Linked DNA regions of Struthio camelus. The protein of the gene in region 3 purifies or fractionates together with the protein of the main gene of each other region. This does not show direct contact. Links are inferred from orthologs where the notes say so. Each region holds a gene or a part of one and is shown on either strand. Other genes may lie near its edges. The genes, in order: TJP2, ASAP1 and ARHGAP12.

Region 1 (7,697 bases), on a different chromosome or scaffold from region 3:
CTCACGTGTGGCACCCACTTTTCCCTGAGTACGTCCATAATGAAGTCCGAGATTGAGAAAAGGAAGTTTAAAAGGTCTAAGGCATTACAAAAAATCATTTGGTCTCGGATGAACTTCTTAAGCCTCACAAATGCAGGCAGCTCCTGCCAATCACTTTGAGAAGACAAAAGATGTTCATTTTCATTCTCTGCTGACTCCTTCCTCCACAAATGCATCTTTCCAAAAGTAAGGCTCTACTAGTTCAAACAGACAGAAACTTAAGCATGAATTTCCACCGTCTTCAAAGAGCAGCAAAAGCTATGCATTATGAGCAAACATCGACTTCATTGTTCCAGGTTGTGTGCAGAGTAATAGTGTCTTTTCCAGAAAACAGCAGGAAAGTTATACAAGAAAGCTAAAACCAAAATACCATTGCTGTCATCATTTTGATTCCCTGTGAAGATGCGAACAGTTTCAAAGAATCCATCTGCCACAGAAATCGCGTAATTATTCCAAGTGAAATGGAAAAATATGCTTTATAATGACTTTCCTACGGAAACGAAAATGAACACCTTAGCAAAATAACACGCTTTTCTTCCTTGCCCTCTCTCACACCTTAGTCTGGGTTACTGTCAGTATTTTCACACCTCTCAAGTGATGGCACGGGAGTTGACATCCCACTTTAATGCTGATTTTCTTTCATTCTATGAGATGGTTGAGAGAAGCATAGGAAGAATTTAACTTAAGCATGCATTTGAATTTGTGCAGTGAGGAGGAGCCAGATACACTTTACATTCTGTACTAGCTTTTAGAAAATGCGCCATGATGGAAATTGGGGGAAAAAATAGCTAGTTTAAAAATGTTATTCAATTTGATTGGATTCTTTTTTATATGAACCTGATAGAGTACCACCAGAGGCTGAGTGACAAGCAGATATTAGCCAAGTGAGTTATAAATTTGCTTATTCCAATTGCACAGATCACAGTCCGCAGCTGCAAACAGAACAGCGCTCTTTTCTTCAAACCATGGTTCACTTCATGGCAATTGTTAGCTCCCAACCCTTAGTGCTCGGAAAGATCTAATAAAAGGATATAAGGGGTCCCTAATGAAGTCCAATGACAAAAGCTTTTCTACTTCTGTTGAATTGTCAGAATGGCAATTCTGTAATTCAAATACATTTTAAGAAGTTAAAATTCCAAGTGTGTACAACAATTACATCACTCGAAACCCCTCTATGAAAGAAGGGAGACGCCTGATTAATAACACTGGAAAGAAAAACAAGTATTAACAAGGCAGTATGTTTTGCATTTGGGTATTGACTAACACTCACTCGTAGATGAAAGCTTATCATTCAGACATTTAAGTAGTAAAGCAAAAAAGAAGGGATGCTAAAGTTAATAAGTTTCATTTTTAAATGGTTTGTTTCAAGTTGCTCCTCTAGCCAAACAAATCTACTTGAAGCACAAAGAGAAATTTTGTAAGAATGTGTCATTACATTCTAACACCGTTCCTCCAAGGATCAAGAGCCATCATGTAACTTTTTATCAACATGTAAAGAACGGCTGCAAGATTCAGAGAGATTGGCATGCAGATAACTCACATTAAACAATCAGAGGAAGTCAGAGTCAAGAGAACATGGGAAAGAAGTGTCTACAATGCATTGTACTAAGGATGCCTTCAAATGAGCACATTTTAACAAAAAAGCCAAAAAGCACTCCTCAGTGCAATACCAGCACACTAGGATCAACTTGAAGAATTTTTGTGTCAATGAAGAGGGTGGAAAATCTTAGCATCCAGTATTTTGTCATTTAGGTGAAGCAACTAAAAATCATATGGGTGCTTTATTTGAATTGGTATTACTGTTGATACCACTATTAGCAGAGGGGTTCTTGCAGAAAAATCATGAGCAAAATTAGAGTTCAGGTGATAGCATTTTTACTCCAAGATTTTCTTTGAAAATTTTCTCACACAAAACTAATCACAACCAGTACAAACTTATCTAACCATTAGTCTTCAACAAGTTTCTCAGATTTTATGTTCCTCTGCCATGTCTTAAACAACAGTACAACATTCTAATGCAAAACAAGAACAGGAGAGACTAGAAAGGCTATGAGGATATGCACCCACTGACGCTACTTACATAGAATGAGCAGATGGGAAAGAAGGACAATCCCTCTTCTCACATACACACTCTATGAGCACAGGAGTTTTTAAGACGATCACTTTTAGAGGGAAACTGAGTTACGAACGAACGAATTTTCTGAAGTCCAACATTCAAGTTAGGGGGTACAAGAAAGCACTCTGAATTGTTTTTAACCAGAACAGAATGCTCCCAATTTCATAGTCTGAACGCTTAAAAATCCTAATTGTTTTCTCTATTAATTGCTGCATATTTCCTTTATGAAAACAGTACTCCTAAATATGAGGAAATTTTGCTTTCTATTAGAAAAAGAAAGTGGGATACAAGCAAAAAAGTGGGTTTTTTTTTCTGCTTTTAGAAGCTGCTAGTTCTCCCATAGATAATAATTAAAATATGCACATTCTAACAAGGAGGGGGGGAACCCACACATACACATGCAGCAGGAGTAAGCATTAATACAAAATGACTATCTCGTTTTCATTGCAATAAGTATGCTCCTGTTTATCCTTTCTACTCTTTGAGCAAACTTTTAATTTAGAAATTATGCCTCTTTCTAATTGTCCTGGTAGCCAAGGACAGTAAATGCACAGAAATCTCTAATGAAACCACAGAGTTTAACTGCAACTGCAGAAGATACACTGCTTGGAAGGCAGACAAAAGATTACTTGTTTTTATGAATGACTCTTTCCTTTTCTCATAGAAGCGTTCAAATTGTATTCTTCAAGGTTAACACAGGTTTTCCCACAGTTACTCATTTATCTCGTTTGTAACACTTACCTGGGATGTTGCCAAAGGTTTGCATGTCTACCTTCAGGAAGCAGTTCCCTTTTGTTAAGGGGAGTTATGCCTATTGCTGCTTCTAAGATAGTTATATATTTCTTGTACCGCATCCTGCCTCTCTCAAGAGTTCCACCACGCTAAGTTGTCATCCAAACGCAGTCATGCTTCTGCACTTGTCTGAACGGTTGCTTTTCAAAACATACTGCAGGTTTCAAGCATAAAAATAATGCCTTCCCCCCCTCTACTAGGCATGGAGAGTTAGTCTGGGAGAGAAACCAAAGAAAAACTCCTGCCAGATTCCCCTGAAACGTCATTGTTACATAATTTGATCTTTGAGTAAGACACTAATGAAAATGATTGAAGAGACAATCACGGTTCTAAGCCTGGCCGGATAATGCACACTCTCCAATTTACTAATCCTTGGCTAAATCTCTGATGTTTATAATCTTTCAAGTACTAATGGAGCGCTAGGTAACTTCTCTCTCAGATCAACTGAGGGAATGAGATCTGCACAGAAAAGTTGAGAATTTTTTTTTACATACTCTGAAAGGTAATAATGGCTTTTGCTTCAACTTTTCTCCGTAGCACCAGGATTTATCTGTGATCTGAGCAGGAGAGGCATGGAGAAACATTCCCTTACTTCACTTACACAGAATTAAGCAAGATAAAGACTTCATTATGATACCTACTAGTCATACAAATGTGCCTCACACAACGCCAGAAGCCACTTTCCGTGTCAAAACTGTTCCAGCCATGACGTAAGTAATTGTGCATGCCAATGACCTCAGGTACTAACTACAAGCGTGGAGACAGATGTACAAGTTGAAGTAATAGTGGCATTTTAGATATGCTGCAGCACTGCCAAACTACAGTATTAAGAGAGACTTGCTTGACTGCAAAAAAGATTAACAAAGGAAATGTTGTAATGCTACATAGATAGTAAGATACTAACTATGAAAGTTTATATATAATTTTATATATACTATTTCTATTGTTGTATAGGTTATTTTATATAAACATGCAAAAAGAACAGACGGGACGGGAAGCATTTATCCTAAAGACCTGGCCAAAAACCCCTCTGCAAACTGCGTATTTTAACTATTCTCTAGTAGTAAAATGCCTATATTTCTGCTGAGGTGACTTTGTATAGAATGTTACATATTTTGAAACCTTTAAGATGGAAACTACAACTTCTAAACTTATACTGTAAAATATTCAGCCCTACACAATGAATTCTTGTACAGTTATTTCCAGTCCCTGTATTATTCACTCTTCTGTATTACTTACGCCCTACCTGGCACTCAATATATTAAGTTACATTGTAACTTAAGTTCACTTACACAAAATATGCACACACTGAACCATCTCAAGTGAATTATTAAATCTGCTCAACTGACTTTAAAATAGCAATATAAAATTAAGCAGTTTACAGATTCAAGAAATAAAACGACAAATAACTGACAAAAGGAAATCTGCAGTTTATACCTATCTAGTTGTACATAGATATGTAAGGAATACGTAATCTGGAAATTTGAGATGTATTAGGAAATCACAGAGTCACAGAATGGCCAAGGTTGCAAGGGACCTCTGGAGATCACCTAGTCCAACCCCCCTGCTCAAGCAGGGTCCTCTAGAGCACAGTGCACAAGATATCCAGGCTGGTTTTGAATATCTCCAGCGAAGGAGACTCCACCACCTCTCTGGGCAACCTGTGCCAGTGCTCCGTCACCCTCACAGCAAAGAAGTTTTGCCTCATGTTCAGACGGAACTGCCTGTGGTTCAGTTTGTGCCCATTGCCTCTTGTCCTGTTGCTGGGCACCACTGAAAAGAGTATGGCTTTCACCCTCCCTTCAGATACTTGTACACGTTGATGAGATCGCCTCTCAGTCTTCTCTTCTCCAGGCTGAACAGCCCCAGCTCTCTCTGCCTTTCCTCACAGGAGAGATGATGCTCCAGTCCCCTCATCATCTTAGTGGCCCTCCGCTGGACTCTCTCCAGGAGTGCCATGTCTCTCTTGTACTGGGCAGCCCAGAATTGGACACAGCACTCCAGGTGAGGCCTCACCAGGGCTGAGGAGAGGGGCAGGATCACCTCCCTCCACCTGCTGGCAATGCTCTCCCTAACGCACCCCAGGATCCCATTGGCCTTCTTGACCACACGGGCACATTGCTGCCTCATGCCCAGCTTGCTGTCCACCAGCACTCCCAGGTCCTTCTCTGCAGAGCTGCTCTCCAGCAGGTCAACCCCCAGCCTGTCCTGGGGCATGGGGTTATTGCTGCCAAGGTGCAGGACCCTGCCCTTGCCTATGCTGAACTCCATGAGGCTCCTCTCCTCCCAGCTCTCCAGCCTGTCCACGTCCCTCGGAATGGCAGCACAGCCCCCTGGTGTGTCAGCCACTCCTCCCAGTTTAGTGTCATCAGCCAACTTGCTGAGGGTGCACTCTGTGCCTTCCTCCAGGTCACCGATGAATGCATTGAACAAGACTGGGCCCAGCACTGACCCCTGGGGGACACCGCGAGCTACAGGCCTCCCACTGGACTCTCCACCGCTGACCACAGCCCTCCGAGCTCTGCCGTCCAGCCAGTTCTCAACCCACCTCACCGTCCACTCATCCAGCCCACACTTCCTGAGTTTACCTACGAGCATGTGATGGGAGACAGTGTCAAAACCCTTCAGGAAAGCAGCTAATGTATTAAAAACATAGAAATAAAGTGAAGCTAAGTATTACTTTCGCAAGACCAAGGAAAAAAAAAAAGCTACAATACTACAATTTCAAACATCTGCATACAAAGTAGTAAGAACCTTGGGAAAGTGAAATACTAGTAGCAGTCTGTAAGCACAGCTAATGTCATCAGGCCTGCATGCATCCTGACTTTTGAGAGCGTTAGCAGCCCTATTGTGCAGGCAGTATTGACTAGCAGTTTGTTGACTATTTCAGTTTTTAAACACCTTCTGAATGTAGTAATTCATGATAATAGTCAGTCCTGCTTAATCAGAGAAACATTTTGATGAAATCCAATCTGCCTTTTAAGTTAGTTTTGTTTTCAATGTTATCACAATTTCTCATACGTTTTGGCACTTCTTTCCACCATCACCACCCCTTCACCTTTTTTAACCTTACATTTTTCCCTTAGAGATATGAGGAACAGATTCTTCCTTACAAACACTTCCCAATAGCATGCTTAGAACTATGATTCTGAAAAAAGTGAAAAAATTGTTTAGTGTAGCTCTAATTAATCTGTTATTTGCTTGAGTAAAGCCAAATAACTCTGACTAGAATAGGAGCCCCGTGACCAGCCTTGTACACAGAGAGCTCACAAACAAACTCATACAGTAAGCATAAGTCACTCCCAAGCACTCCTCTTAGCTAGCTTGTTCATGAATCTTAGATATGCAGAGGGAGTAAGACTGACTCACAAGTTATCAATTTCCTTCAACTTTGTTTGAAAACAGAAACTCAAAGCTATTAGTACATCCATTGTTTGCCCTGAAAAAACTATCCCTCAGTAACAAAGGGTCTAAAATACATCTACGTTCATTGTTTCCTGTTGAGGAATATCATCCACTCCCCTTCTAACTTTGTGTTTTTCAGGCAGAAAGAACACCAAGTTTTAATGGAAAGAGCACAGATCAACTGGGAACATACAAGTGAACAAACATAATCTAATAATTAATCTGTTAAAGAAAAACACTTGTGTCAGCTTCGGGAACTTGTGGTCCTCAACCATGCTCATGAAGAGAACAGCAATGGACAGCCTGAATTTTAGCAAAAAGAAATCTTTGCTTTTTCACCATACTTGTGTTCTCTGCTCAGCTTCTCCTTACAAGTCTGCCATGTTGATTACTTCTCAGTTTTCAAAATAAAGAAAATGAGGTAACATGTATTTCTATCAAATTGATATAATGCATTGTGGCAATATATCAAAAGACTTGGAAGGTACGCTGGCTGTAGGGAAAGAGAACCCTGTGAGAACTGAAAGCTTTTTTTACGTCTGTTTCAAAGTCTCTTACTCTATTCTGTGCTTTCTTAGCTGAAAGAGAGAGAAAAAAAAATCAGTCTTGTGACAATGATTTCAATGCAAATAAAATTCTATAAGTGATATTTGCAAAAGCAGTTCAGAAATTATATTATTCTCATTCATTCTATACAAATTCTAGACTGTTGCAGTAGATGGTTTGGCAAGTGAGAAGTAATTCAGGGAAAGGGGAAAGAATGACAAATGTTCTTTTCTGCATGAAAGAAACATTTATGAGATCAAAGTGAAAGTTTTCTTTTGCTCAATACATGAAAAGAAAGAGTTATTAGATTTAGAGCATATTTCATGTAAAAGCTGATGACAGATGCATGATTCCATCTTCAGTCACTTCAGATCCAACTGCAAAGGAAACAGCCATTGCCAAGCATAGCCACAAATTACTTTCCATCTTAGGAAACAAAATTCTCTTCTTTCTTCTCTCTCAACAAAAAAAGTCTGTAACACCTACAGGTTAAAGAATTCTATCGTGAGGAGAAAAAAGAAACAAAAGGATTTTCCTGCATTCTTACTCTTGGATGACAAGAATAACCATGACAGATAAAGTTAACTTCCAGCGTTACTTAGAGGGCATATGTGTTTTCTTGTTTGCGCCATATAGCTAAGAAACGCACATGTTAAGCTTGATCTGTCAAAATAATTTTGAGGCAAAGGAGCATCAAGGATCAATTTTTTTGTGGGAGAAGGGTAACATGGAAAGAGCAGACGAGAACCTCGAAACTGTTTTCACGCTGCTTCGCTGACGGCAGTAGCTTTTGGCCCCT
Region 2 (7,504 bases), about 150 Mb from region 3:
CAAGTGGGCATAAAGAAAGGAATTAGCCATGCCTTCTTCCTGGAGGTCATTACGAGGTAGGCACCTAACCCTCTTGTACATGTTTGAAAATCTCAGCCGTGGTACTGCTAGCATGACTTCTAGCACCACTTGTGGCAGCAGGAGTGGTGGTGAAGGGTCAAGTCTCCCGGCACCGGGAAATCCTAAGGAAGAGGTCAAAAGCAACAGTACAGATGCAGCTGTGCTGTGTCGGAGGGCCTAGTTACGCAGGCACTGTACAGGGAGCCGGTGAGCCCGCTGCACGAAGCGTAGCCTCGCTCTCCGGTAGCACCCTCTGAAGTGTTGCAGCACACAGTAGGGGGTGAATCAGGAAACCACTTCTCAGAGCAAATCTCTAGCAGCCAAGAACGAATTGGAGAAGTGTTTTGGGCCTTGCGCAAGTGGGGATTTGCTGCTGAAGTCTCAGGGAGTTAACACTTGTGCTTGGGGGTGCGAGCTGAAGGTCACACACCACAAGCAGGGCGGCTGCTCTGGGCACGCAGCAGCTATGTGTGACGCAGTCCCCTAGCTTTAAAAGTAGCGTTGCCTCTTCTCTGAGCTGCGAGGCCCAGGCCATCTTCCCCTTGGCTGATGTAACCTTGCAATTTGTTATTTCTGAAGCCAGTGGGTAGCAACTCAGATGCTACCCCTTGTCCTTGTTCTTTTTCCTCTGCCCTGTTCTGCTGGAAGTGTCTTTATCTGGCAACGTCTAGCGCATGTCAACATAGGGAAACAAATAGAGCCAGAGTTGGATGCTGTGGTTTCTGATTTGCTTGCCTATATATTCAGAAATTATTAATATGTTCTAAGCAAATCAATATGGCTTTAACGACTGAGAAGAAAAAGAAATGAACTCCAGTCATTAAGCACTAATTGCACAATTACTATTTTATATAGGCAGGCCTGGCAACGAAACATCTGTCTGACTGGCTGCAAAGAGATCACCAAATCAATTATTTGCTTTAACATTTTATTCTTTCCCAAACTAGACATTTGTTCAGCTTGTTTACTCATACCACAAGGCCACAAGCTGTGTAGTTAGTAATAAATGAGTGAATACATTTATCTTTGGAAACTTGGGCCAAGCCAAAGAGTTGTTTGGTCACTTGTTTTTCTAGGAGAATAACACATGTGAGATTTACTCAGATGAATCTCATTACAGCAATAATGGGATTGCCTGTGTTAATTGCCCACATAATAAATTCCAATAACGACAGTCAGGATTTTACAGTATACAGCAGGTTTCTAGCATGAAATAACAGACCATCATAGCAATGCTGGGAAGTACAAGGACATTTTACCTCTCTAACAGAGGCGAACGCGGGAGGTGGGTTCTGCCTGTTCGACACCAGCGTCTCAAGCAACTAACGCTAATCTCCTGTGCAAGCAGGCAGCCGGGTGGCGGCCAGACTGCAACCTCTGTGCCTCGGCGGCCGGCGTTTCCCTCCCTCTGCCTACAGGTGTGACCGTCCCCGTTGAGGGAGAACAAAAGGGCAAGTCCTTTCCCCATTCCCACCTTGTGTTCCCAAAAGAAAACTGACCGAGTGCAGTTAGGTGTTTAGCACCGGGCCGTGAGAGAGGTCGCTTAGAGAGCAAGGCGGGTGACGGAGCGCTTCGTGCTGCGACTGCTGAAGACTGCTAGCCTTCGCCGCTCTCCGTTTTTGCCTTGTTGTGTATTTTGTGTTGATTCAGGGCAGTCAGCGCACATGACACGTGATGGCTCCCACAGCCAAGTGTGTGGCATATTAATGCCCTGCCCCTATAGCACTCGTGCTGTGCAAAGCCATGGAAGAATTTCAGCAATTTTGCATGCTTCTGCTGCCCCTCCGCATTTCTCTTGTATCCACAATAGCAGTTCCTAGGCCCCTTTTCCCCTTCTTTTCCGGCTCGGCTTCCTTGTTTACTTCTCTGGCCCTGTCCCATTCAAAAGGGACTGTATGCGCACAAAGCAAAAGGATTTCAATACATGTAAAATAATGAAGCTTTACAAAGCAAACGCATTATGCAATTTTCTCCGCCTAAGCTGCTTAAATGTTGTGGGAACAACACATTCCAGTAACTTTTTTGGAATAAAATCCTGTGATTGAGAGAGACTACAGCAAGCAGGTTACACACACACAGACCCCGTGTCAGCTCCAAACTGGTTATTTTGCTGGAGTATGGTTGAACTGAACCCATTAGAGCTGATGTGCAATTAGAGAGACATACCTCTCCTTCTCTCCCTTTCCTGTAGCTTAGAGCAGCTAATTTTAATTTTAATTTCCCGAAAGTCACCGTTCCCACAAACACAGCGCGGGTTCCCCGCTCTAAGATGAATCCGTTTATATCTCCAGCCTGGGTAAAATGAAGCCACTATTTTAAAATCTATAAGGGTAAGTGGATCCGATACTCACGTGGACACGCTCCTTTTCTGCGGGGAAGCTCTTACACACAGAAACGTTAACAGGATTTACAAAATCCATCTGTTTGCAAAACCGGCATCTCCGAGTGCATTCAGATTTGTAAGTCACAGCAGGTGCATAAACTGTGGCTGACTCATGCGGCATACAGAGCGACTAATACTGCTCCCCGTTTCCTCTCCCTGACAAAGAGCACATTTCTACTCCTCAGACCGTTCTGAAAAGCTGATTCGAATTTGCCGAGTCAGAGAATTCGGAACCCAAAACGCTGGAATCACTGGATTCAGCAGGGAAATGTTGGAAGTGGAAGCCCAGCGACAAGAGGCTCACCATTTCCGCTGGCATTTCCAGAGCCCCTTATGGCTGAGGACCTCTAAGCTCCTTAGAGATACTAATGAATTAAAGCTACAGCATTCCAGAGTGCCGGGTAATTTTATTATCCCCTCGGCTAAGAGGAAAACGGAGACACGGAGAAAGTGGCTGGCCTGTGGTTTGTCTGCTTAGCTGCTGTGGGAGGAGGCTCTGGGATTTCAGCACGCGCCGCGCAGCAGCGGCGTTAGAGGAAAAGCCGTCGGGCTCTTTTGGGGCGAGGGGAAGGTGTCTAGCGAGTAGTTTTCCCTCACTGGAATAAATGCAACACATTCTGTTTTTCTAATGCTAACAGAGGTCTTCTGTCCACCCTCTCCGGGGTTCCCAAAGGATCGCAGTCACAGAGCAGTCGGTGCAAGGCTGCTCGCTGAGGGCTCCTCAAAGAGGGAGGAGGCAGAGGACACTTCCTTCCTTGGGCTGTGCCCTCCCATACCGGGCAGCTGACATTTATTTGTAGCTTGGATGTGGGATAAAAAGAGCCCTTTGTCACATGCTCAGCGCTCCAGAATTGATGAGAGAGCTTATCTTTACAAACATAAGTGTGAAAAGGTCGGGGCTGCCGAGGGGATTTCATTTTGCTGTTTTTCTGAACAGGCTTTTCCTTCCCCTCTATGCCTTTCAACTGATGCTTCTTTCATCCAGTTTGTTTTCAGGTTGGATTTTGAACAGGTTTCCCATGCCGGCCCCAGCGAGGAGCAGGAATCCCCAACGCTTCGAGAAATAAAACAAAGAAGCCAAAAGCTTAAAGTGCCAGAAAATTTAGAAATTATGAAATCAGACCAAATCAAATCGATCGGGCAACGTATTTCAGTTCCCCTTCAATTCATTGGTGACTTTGATTTACATGAAAATATGATGACGGGGTTCATTCAGGGAACCATCAAGCCTGGAGCCTCATCAGAGCCATGGGTCAGCGGTCTCATGGGCCAGCTGTAGTTCAGCATATGGCCAGCATATAGGAATGGGAATCGCCCCATCTCATGTTAGACATCTGCATCTGAGCTTGTGGCATAGCCTCCCTGCACAGTCAATCAGAAGGCATGAGCCCTCCTAGCATGCCTAGATCGGCTGTCTGCTTTAGGACGGGGTGAATTTCTGCCTCCAAGTGCAAGTTTCTCTCATTTCATCATCAGAGGAGTCTCGATGATGAGCTCAGATATGCTTGTCTATGTTTTAGGTACCTTCGTCTCTTTGCAAGAATCCCACCCTTCATTTCCAAGTAAATGCCGGACTAATCTGGCGCCAAATTTTTATCTGCTGTCGATACTACTGGCAAGATGTGGCTCTTGGTGACTGCTGCTCACGTTCGGTGTGTAGGCACTAAGACAGGGCTCTGCGGAGGTATTCAGATTAACTTTAACTTTGCTGTCTGGGCTAGGGGCAGGATGTAAGTTGTGCTGATATGAAGCTCAGAAGCGCGTTTACCCTCTCTCCTGGATGCTTTTTGCAGGTGCGTAAAATGTCTGCAGTGAGAATGTGACCTGACAGCTATCATATTAAAAGCAATTTCCTGTATGTTGAGAGATTCACTACCCTCTTGCAAACACTAGCTCACATCACACCGTGTTGTTGTATGTATTTCTAAGGCATCTTCCCACTAACCTTATGTGACAACAGTGTAATGAAGATTTGTAGAGATGTCCATAGCAGACACAGTCTTTTTTACATCTTCTGTGCTTGCTAGCTCTCTTGCTGTGCTTCTGAGGTTTTTTTTTCTAGCTGCGCTTCCTTTTTTTTTCTTCTTATTCTGGGGAAGAGCTCTGTAAAGAGGGTGAGTCATGTGCCACATGCTTGGCGAATGATCGTGCTCACAGGCTCATTCTGTTTTCCTGTCAGGGGGTTTGGAGTCAAGAAGAAGCTTTTGACTGGAAATGTTTTATCACCAGCAGAGGTGGGTCAGAGAGTCATGAATGGAGAGGCTGTTGAAGCAATAGCAGATCCTTGAATCGTCACCTGAAACGTGTTGGAAACAGCAGACCATTTGGGTAGAGACTGTGACCTAACACAAAGAGTCTCCTGGCCGCTGACAGCCAAGTGTTTGCTCCCTCCTCTTTTAATCTTCATGGTCCAACACCCAGGATCCTCTAGCTTGTGTTCCCTGGGGAATTTGCATTGCCTGCACGCTTGACATCAGTGCCGCTATGTGACATGTCCCTTCTGCACAGTTTGCTTTGATGGCTGGGCTGGCTGTGGTTGACTGTGGTGTACAGCTGAGAAAAGTAGATGCACATGGTTGCATTGGTATTGCACAGCAGCAGTGGCTGTGGTTTCTCCTGCAGTCCTTCTGCTCTCCACGTCAGGGTGAAAGCTCGTGGTGAGCTATTCCTCTGCCTGCTCTGGTCTGAAAGGAAACAGATATGTGCAAAGGGAGGAAATCAGCAGATCCCTTGGTCCAGGTGAGCAGTGCTCCATAACCTCAGGGCTTAATGCGCTGCACCCTAGTTTTCTTGTGGGCCACAGCCAGGTTGTGCAGCCTGACGGAAACAACACCAGGACCCCACGGAGGTCTCCTGCTCTCATCCTCACCCAGCTACCCATTCGAGATGAAATGGAGCAGTTTCTTGTTTGGCAGAAGAGGGCAGAGCTCTCTTCTCACTGCTGCTCTGTGGCTGTGCAGGACGAGCTTGCACCCTGGAAGGCCTCATGCCTCTGCATCAGGTGAAAGGCAGATGCCTTCAACAGAGGAAGCAGCACTGTCTGGTTTATGCCCTGTCTGACATATCTGGACTCATTTTGAAAAAGCTGGTTTTCATCTCGCTGCAGCTCTGTGGTACTTTACTAGCTGCACTTACATTTTGGATTAAACAGGTGACATACGAAACCAAAACACAGAACTACTGAAAGCCTCCTTCATTTTCTATTGCTCTCTGCTAGATGCAAATTAGCTTTTTCCAGAGGGCACCTCGCCACTGTTCACAGCAGCTGACTTTCCTGGGGTGGGGAGGGGAGAGAGGCAAATTGAAGGTCTATAGACGCTCTCCTCCAGCCAGTAGCAGGGCCTGGTGTGGTACTTCAGCAAAAATAGCTGTGCATTTGGATCTTCTCCTTAGCACAGCGCCTGGAAGTATCACAGACATTTATAATGCTACATAACATACAAGGCCTTGCCCATGTCACAGAGAAACTTGACCTAAATTTGCCATCAAAACACCTGCATTATCTATCTTGCCTAAGCGGCAGATCACAGACTGAGCAAAATCTTAAACACTGAGAGTTGTGTTTTTTTCCCCTCGTAGAATTAAATTTAAAAAAGCTTGTGACTGACAAAGGAAGTCTTACTTCAGTTTGATTTATTCTAAGCTGCCCTAAATATTTTGTTTTTCACTTCTGTTGAGTGAAGTATTTTGTACTGCAGGCTCATGGCAGCATCACAGACGGAGGGGAAATTCAGATATGGGGGAGCTGCACAGATGACTGGGATTTGAAGTATGAGAAGCAATTGGGTGATGTGAAATGTGCCCATAAAAATAATATTTTTAAGAGGTTTGTAAGATGTTGGATCACACAGAAAGAATTAACAGAACTGATATTTATGTTAGATTTCATACATAAGGGGCCAAATGCAACTTAAGATTTGATTGCAGTGAGATTAGAGGAGGAGAAAATATCCCTTCTGAATATAGGACACAGTCCAATGAGAGAAGTTCACATGTGAAATGATTTTACTCAACCACCTGGGCTAGGTACTTAGTTTCTTTAAAAATGTAACGTTTAGATTCTGAAGTCCAGGCCTCCAAGTTGTCTGATAATGTCCCAGGCTGCTGAACAGAGCATTTAAGGTAGCAGGCCCCATCTTTATGGAACATGTTGGCCCAGGTATTGTCCTAGACTTTGTTTCAAGCAATGAAATCAAGTAGTGACCCACAAAGAGGGGAGAGGAAGAGACAGGCTGAACCTCTACTTGCAGGGAGAATAGATACTCATATCCATCTCTCAGCAGGACTTCAGAAAGCACAGCTTTCATCTGGTTTTTCTTTCATGGCACATTAAAGGTGATTTCACTGGAGTGTTGCTCTGGCCAAGCATATCCAGGTTAAACTCTATCTCCGTTATGCCCTTCTGCTTGCGTTGTCACGTCAGGGCAGAGTGTGGATGGTCTGGCCTTGATCACCATTGCTCTGCTGGCCCCTGTTATACATACCATTATCTGGGTTATCTGTTGCTTGGTCTGTAAGGGTAAAGGCTGTTTTCCTTAAGGGAGTGGTTTTGTAATACCAACATAAAATATACTTTTGCTAGTATAGCTATCAGGTCAGAACCACTTCCCCGGCAGAGCAGTCCTGGGTAGAGGTAACCCACGCTTCTGACGCTCTCACAGCAAAACGCGCTGCGGTAGCCAGGTGAGGAAGCTGGCAGATGTTGAATGTAACTATAACACACATTGCTCAGTCTTGGAGAACTTTTCCTCATGTTCAGCCTGGTTTATTTTGAATTTTGCTGTTGCCAGGAAGAACTGCAGTAGGGTTGTAAGATTCCTAAGGCAGATGAGGGAAAGTCTTCTACCAGCATTTTGCTTATCTCAGGCACCACCTGGTGTCAGATGTGGCTTCTGAGTGCTACCTTTTCCGGGTCCTGGTTACACAGAACAGCATCAACAGTTATTTTATTTGGTGAAAGTTATTTTGCCTGATGAAAATTATGGCTGAGGCAAGAAGTGATGGATTGTTTTCGCTCCATGTGCATGTCACATGTCCACCCCTGGCTATCTGGCCACACTT
Region 3 (7,103 bases):
AGTCTCTGAATTCTCTTAACCTGATTAAGAGATTAATCATTATGAACAGACCCACTAACAAAGACATAAGAAAACTTACCATGAACACCAAAAATTAGACTCAAGCCACACTTTTCTTTTGATAAAGTAAAGCCTCAATGCCACAGGTAACTAATTTAAGGTGGACTACACCCCTACACAGAAATACATTCCACCATTTTACAAAGCATTCATGCTGTCTCAGAGAGAAAGCTCACTTGTGACTATATACACAGCATTGGCTGCTCATCATCTAAGAAACAACTGCAAAGCCAGCACCGAACTGTACTCCCTACACTGAAGAAACAGACCGCTGAAAGATCTTTCACTAGGTATCCAGGCATAGATTTCTTCAGGCTCCAATTTCCGATGGGAACCGTTCCCAACTCTTACTCAGCTAAGACTGAGTAAAACTGGCAATGCTTGGTATTTACAGAGGTCGGCTCCTCCCTTCCCTTCTCCAGCCCTACCTGGAGGGTGCTGCTGCTCCCTTGCCCTCCGGCTGCCCAGTTCATCACAGCGGGGCCTGCACCCTGAGAGCAGTGCAACACAACCCCACACCTTCCTGGGAGCATACCCTCCCTGCTCTTGCTGGGGGAATTATATGCTTTTCTCAAAGGGGGAGTAAAGGTAAAGTTAGATTTTGCATGGTAGCGCTTGACACTAGCAAGATTCTACATATTTCTAAATAAGCTAGGATCTTTTCTAATCAAGTCTAAATTACTGCAATGACATCTCCAAACGTTATTAGACTGGTTTGGTTTAAGATATCTTTATGCTTGTTTAGAAGTAGGCCTTTTCTAGTCCACGTAACCCTATAGCAACATATTTACCTATTTAAAGTAGTAAAATCAATTTAATTTTAACTGCAGGAAAATACTCACTAAATTGCTCTTAAAGTCCATCCGAACGGTCTTGAACCATGGCCCTAACACGTATACACCTATATAAATATTTTAGTCATGCCTAACTTCAGCATTCAGCTAGAACTCAGACCAAAACACAAAACAAACAAACCAAACACAGCACGTACACAACAGATGTTTCATACCTTTTTTTTGAAGTTATCATACACAGAATATTTTTTTAATCTTTTAGAACCAAATTAAAACTTTGCAATATGTCAGGAAGTCTTTTTCCAGTTCTTTTATTTCCCTCTCAGAAAAACCTTAATCACCATGGCTACGGAATTTTTGTTTGCTTCACAGTACAAACAAACGATAGGTTACAGAAAAAAAATTGAGGATTTCAAAAGATTTCCTTAAAATTTTGCCTGTGCCCTTGTTAGTGATGTCCTACAAAGCAGCAGCAGTTGACAGTTGATTGTGTAATCCTTTTTCCATTTTCAGCATCAAACTTCACCCATTTCAGTAACGAACCCTTCCATGATGCTGACACAGAAAGAAATTCAATTACTGAAGCTAAATTAGGATGAATTCTTATCAATTCAGGCCAGATAAAACACATTGGCTGCTGCTGACTAGATTCATTATTTTGTCCTCCGCAGTCAGTTTTCTCAGTAGTTCAAGGAGATACAGTGCACGGCCATTTCTTGGGAGACCGGTCCCACAATAATCTTGGCTTTCAGTCAGAATTCGACCCTATTTATGCCTTTCTTCCAAAGGGGCACCATTCCTTATCTAGCATAACTAACTTTTCAGCCAAATTTTCAATTCAGTCAGATTCAACAGTGACAACCAACCCTCACCGAACTAGCGCCTGTGAAAAACATCTGCGAAGTGTAGGCTTTTAAGTACGGAAACTGGGAGTAGCACTTGTAACACTCATCTAACATATGCAGAAACCCACTCTCTTGTCAGAGTATCGCAAAGCCAAATTCTCCATACACTGAAATTGCATAGGAGACATCAACTTAAGATTTTACAGCAACCATTTGTAAGCAAACATCATTTAAAAAATATAGCAAAAAGGCAAACGCAAACAACGAATATAAACAAAACGCAGGCAACTCACAAATCCTAGAAAACAAGCTGAATCCTGCACCCTTTCCTCAGGAAAAAAGCACTACAGAGATCAAGTACTATTCCAAACACTAGATTCCCAGAGCTCCGACTTCCTTAAGAATTAAAGGCATAATAAGTAACCATTTAATAATTACCTACTGACTCAGAGCACTGAATAAGTGATGTATTTTAAACAACTGTCAGGGCAGCTCTTAAAGCCACGTTACAGCTCTCGGCACCTTAACCAGCTTACAGAGCATCGCCGGCCGCCACTCGCTCCTCCGCGCTGCGCGCTCAGGTTAAGTTGTTGACTCGCCCGAGCAGCCCCAAACAGCTCCGCACGCCCGTGCCCGCGCCCCGCGCCGCCGCCTCCGCCTTACTTAAAGGGCACCGAGAGGCGCAATCAGCGGGGCGCGGGGGCCGCCGCCGCCGCCGGGCCGCGGAGCCCTTTGTTCGCCGCCGCGCCGCGCCGCTCCGCGCCGCTCCGCGCGCCGGCAGGTGCCGCGGCCGCGCGAGGCCCGCCGAGCCCGCGGCGCCCAGGTGCGGAGCCGCCCTCCGGCCGGCGGCCGCTCCGCGCTGCCCGCGGCGGCACAGAGCCGCGCCGCGGCCACCCCCGCGGCGGCACCGCGGCTGCCCCGCGCGGGGGGCGCTGCCCGCGGCGGGGGGCCCCGGCAGGGCGGCGACTGAGGGAGGAGGGGAAGGGGGGAGAACCGGGGAGCGCCGCCGGCTCCCCGCCCGGGGCAGCGCCTCACGGAGCCAGAGCCGGCCGAGGGCGGGCCGCAGCGCCGTGCCCGCGGGCGCCGACGTGCCCTCCGACCGCCTCAGGGCCACCCAGCCCGGCCCGGCTGCCCCCGGGGCGGCCCACGCTCCTCCGACCCCCTCCTCCTCCGGCGCCGCCGCTGCGGGCGGCCCCCCGCGCCCCCCTCACCTGCCTCGGCGCCGCGCCAGGCCCGCTGCCCGCTCCGGCCGTGATGATGATGGTGGTGGCGGCGGCTCCCTCGCGGCCCCTCCGCCCGCCCCGCCGGAGTGTCACCTCCAGGGCACGGCGGCGTCACCGCTCTCGCGTCACGTGCCGGGGGCGGGGCGGGGCCAGGCGGGGGTGTGTCGGGAGGGAGGCGCGGGAGGCGGCGGGCGCTAGGACCGGCGCGGCGGGGGGGCAGGACGCCTGCGCGGCTGCGCCAAGGGCAGGGGCGGGCGCTGCGGGCGGCGGGCAGTCGGTGCGGGTGCGGGTGCGGGTAGCGGTACCGGGGCGGGTGCCGGGTGCTGCAGGCTGCGTGCCCCCGGCGTTAACACCGCCCCCGAAAGCCGTTCAGGCTTTTACTGCTGCGGAGGGAAATAGCTATCCCTTTCCGTATGTCATAGAAGGAACGGATGGAAAACAAAGTCTCCGCCCTTTAAATAACCTGACCGAAAAGAAATAAGAATAGCCGTACTCCGCTATTCGGCGTCGTCTTGCTTGGTGTCTCTAATTACATGAGTCAAAGATGTCAGACATCCAGCCTGGAAACACTCGTGTGACCTTCGTAGCTTATTCAACTTGTAAGGGATCTTATCTTTCCCTTTAAAACCAGTATTTCCTCCTCATGGGTGCGAAGACGGCCTTGGAAGCGTGGGCTGACCGGGGCCGGAGGGGCGCTGTCCGCAGGCGCCCCCACACCGCGGGCCTGCGGCGCGCCGCCCGCCCGTCCTGCTCGGTCCGGCCCGGTCCGGTCCGGTCCGGCCCGGTCCGGCCCGACCGCCTTCCGTGGCTGGTGGCTGTAGCGCGTGCACTAAGGAAGGGGGCGCGGTGAAGCCCTCAGGAGCGGCTTGCTGAGGGGAGGGAAAAGCCACGGGAAGAGGCTTGAGGGGTGCGGACAAGGGAGAGGGAGGCACGGAGACGGCCTCGGAGCAAAAGGGGAGCAGAGACAACGGCGTAAATAGGTGTAACCGAACCTGCGGACGCGTTTTCGTACGGAGCGATACTTCCAGCGTCGCTGTGTCCTCGGTGCCGGCCCTCAGGTGACCTGTGACAGCGCACCAGACAAATCGTGAACAGTGCAACACCTTAAAGCTTTACTTCTGTGTATTGTAGCCTAAATACTTACGGAAACGTCCCCTGGGCACCCAGGGTAACTTGGCTTCGGGCTCACTCTCTGCCCACAGAACGTCATTGTTAAAACGCTGCAAACTGTCGACGGCATGAGGCTGATCAGGTGGGCCGCCATCAGACCTGCTCCTTCCACAGTTATCCGCAGAGTCGGGAAAAGCGGAGCAGAGGCTGGGGTTTCTAATGCAAGGGAAACATCATCTTTTGTACAGTTGTTCATTTATATCATTAAAAGGCAAAATAAACCCTTAAAAATAAAGTGTTGTTTGGCATTCATGCTTTTCTTTTGTGAATATATATATATATATATTTATAAGATACAGAGTAACTGAAGACAGTGTTCAGTTCATGCTTTTGTCTAATAACATTCTGCTTGCATACCCAGTTCTGCAGGAGAAAATAATGTACGTAAAAGCCTTGGGTATTTCTAATTGAGCTCACTGCAATTTATCTATCGATACGCCTGAGGTATACATAAAAGCATCTCAAAAATCAGGCACAGTAGCCACATTGTCGTTATCCTTCCTTACTCCTAAGGCTTCACTAGACTGCTGCAGGATATGGCATTAGTGATTCAGTATGAGGCACTCTTCCCTCTGAGTCAGTGTTGAACTGATGGTCCTGCATACTGTTGACATGCATAATAGAGCTGAAAGTGCCAGGAGATATGTAATTTTGAGTCTCTGCCCAAGTACAGTCATGAAATATTCCATACTACCATATTACAAATAAACTGTCCAGCACTAGTTCCACCTTTACCATCTTTTACACATTCTGCCTGTGAAAAATAGCTCTATAATTTCACTGGACTAAAAAGAGAGTTGAGAACGTTTATTCATCATGATTTATTTTTCCTGGAGATGTGCTAGCATAGGATGGCTATCATACTGACACCTCAGACAGGACTATATACATACATTAGTCAAAAAAATGAATTTCAGAATTTCAGATCATGAATTTCAGATCAAAAGAATCATTAAATATAACTGCTGTACATAGTGGAAGTGAGCCATGGGAGAAACTACAGGAGTCTCTAATTCTTGTATCTAATTGCGTTCTGAATGTTTCTGTATCATAACTCACATGCTGAATGTGACTCTCTTATCTTTGCAGACTGATTCCATATGAAAAGTCGATGTTTGATTCGAGTCTCTCTGTCCTGTTGCCCCATATCTTTCAAAACCATTGTCCAAATTCAGCTGTGTTTACCGAATGGGATTTGTCCTCAAAGATAATCCAGATCCTACAAGTTTTCGGAAAACAGGCAGCTACAGAGGAGTGCAAGAGAAGCCACATAAGAAAGTGACACCAATCATGGAGAAAAAGTTGACCCAATACTTGCAATCTTTCACGAAACACAAATCCACTGGAAACAAATTTCACAATTGTGAAAATCTTGTCTTGGAAAATTGAAGTTATGGCATTTGAATTAGACATAGAAAGGATAGTTATTCGCCTTAGAGTCACAATTTTGAAATATCAGGTTCACATTTATAAAAAACCTGAGTCCATTAAATTGGAAGGGCAAAATTCCATTTTACTTTTTTGCCATTTTTCCTGCCTGTGAGTCCCCTAATTCAAATCTCTGCAAGTTCAGCTGTCCATTAGTGTATAGCTTGGCTGCAGTAATTCTAAATGAGTGTGACGCTCTGATTCATTTCAAATGCATGCCTAAGATGCATTGCCATCCTGTTATTCATAATGCCAGGACTGATGTTAGGTAAGTAATAGAAATGTGCTGCCTAAAACGTGATCATTGTTAAGTCTGGGTTGTTAATTCATTCTTTAACTCCCTTCCCCCCCTTGCCAAACAGACTAATCTTATTATGAACTGTATTGATTCTTTCTTTCAGAAACGCAAACACCAAAAGCTTTCTCGCATCTAGCAGACAGACACTGCAAGTATCCACCTTACTCATTTTGCTTTCTCCTTAGTTTTTCTTTCCTTTTGTTCAAGGACTTTTTCTCTGCGTTTTATGTTATAACCTAGGTAGTGATAGGCAATAGAGAAATCATTCTGAATTTAGAGAAAGAATTGCACTTAATTAAGCAAACAATTCTGATACAAAGAGAAAATATTTTTATTTTACAGTACCTTCAAATATTACTTAAAAGTTTATTTTAAAAAATGGTTCAGTTTCCTAATACAAAGTACATCTCTTGGGGCATCTCCTGTCTGCTCTGCTCCTACTCTCAATTTTTTGACAGGCTTCTAACCTCTATCTAAAAATAGTTCTACCACCTACCCATATACATACAATCAATTCCTCCTTTCTCTTCTTTCTAACTACTACAAAAGCACTTTTTAACAAAGTGCAGATACTGTGGATTTTTTGCATGAACTTGTCAATTTACTCCCAGTCTCCTGACTCAACTAAGAAATGAGCCATTTTTATTTATGTAACTGTACATTGTGAGGAAAATCAAGCGAAATGGGAACAAAGAAAGCAAATAACATAAAAAAGGAACCTAGATTTCTCCAAAGTTCAGCAAAGAACTTGTTCCACCATTACAATTCGAAGGAATGTTCTCTGCCTTAAGGAGGAAGAGTTAGTCAAAAGTTCAGAGAAGGTGCTTGGTTTACCGTGAAAATTCAGAGGGGAATTTGTTAGTCTTCCACCTTTCCAGCAGATTGGTTTTTTACATCACGTGAATTAGAATGGAGTATGATTGGCACATACTTTTTCACTTCATACTGTTTATTTGCCACGTGGCCACTGCGATGTTCAGTATTTCTATATTTTTCTGAGTTCATTCAATGGTAAATGTTCCAGAAACTCAGATCTAATTATTGTTCATATAGCAGTCTCAGTTTCAGACTGAAAAACAGTTTTGTACAACTATCTGATTGTTGGCCTTATTAAAGAACAAAGTAATCTTTGTTTTGGTCCTATATTGGTCGGAGTTGGAACTGTTCTTTTCTTGCCAAAGAGAAGCTCATTAGTTACCTGTTAAGTAAAACTGTGTATCTCTTTTTTTCTTTTTGAGCATAATATTCTGAAATGTATCACTTTTGAGTTGAGCATGAAACTCAT

The links.
Region 1: the proteins of ARHGAP12 (region 3) and TJP2 purify together in Homo sapiens (co-immunoprecipitation; 3 studies listed by BioGRID and IntAct, with this or other methods). This does not show direct contact. The link is inferred for Struthio camelus from reciprocal best matches to the Homo sapiens genes ARHGAP12 and TJP2.
Region 2: the proteins of ARHGAP12 (region 3) and ASAP1 purify together in Homo sapiens (co-immunoprecipitation; 3 studies listed by BioGRID and IntAct, with this or other methods). This does not show direct contact. The link is inferred for Struthio camelus from reciprocal best matches to the Homo sapiens genes ARHGAP12 and ASAP1.

What each region holds. Positions count from the first base shown.
Region 1 is NC_090982.1:25,649,980-25,657,676, reverse strand, and holds the start of TJP2 (tight junction protein ZO-2), read right to left. Parts: upstream 3,010-7,697; coding exon 2,897-3,009; intron 1-2,896. UniProt on the Homo sapiens protein: Plays a role in tight junctions and adherens junctions. Acts as a positive regulator of RANKL-induced osteoclast differentiation, potentially via mediating downstream transcriptional activity.
Region 2 is NC_090943.1:163,101,511-163,109,014, forward strand, and holds the start of ASAP1 (arf-GAP with SH3 domain, ANK repeat and PH domain-containing protein 1), read right to left. Parts: upstream 3,093-7,504; 5' UTR 2,412-3,092; intron 1-2,411. UniProt on the Homo sapiens protein: Possesses phosphatidylinositol 4,5-bisphosphate-dependent GTPase-activating protein activity for ARF1 (ADP ribosylation factor 1) and ARF5 and a lesser activity towards ARF6.
Region 3 is NC_090943.1:17,148,911-17,156,013, reverse strand, and holds the start of ARHGAP12 (rho GTPase-activating protein 12), read right to left. Parts: upstream 3,050-7,103; 5' UTR 2,915-3,049; exon of another isoform or gene 2,911-2,914; intron 1-2,910. UniProt on the Homo sapiens protein: GTPase activator for the Rho-type GTPases by converting them to an inactive GDP-bound state.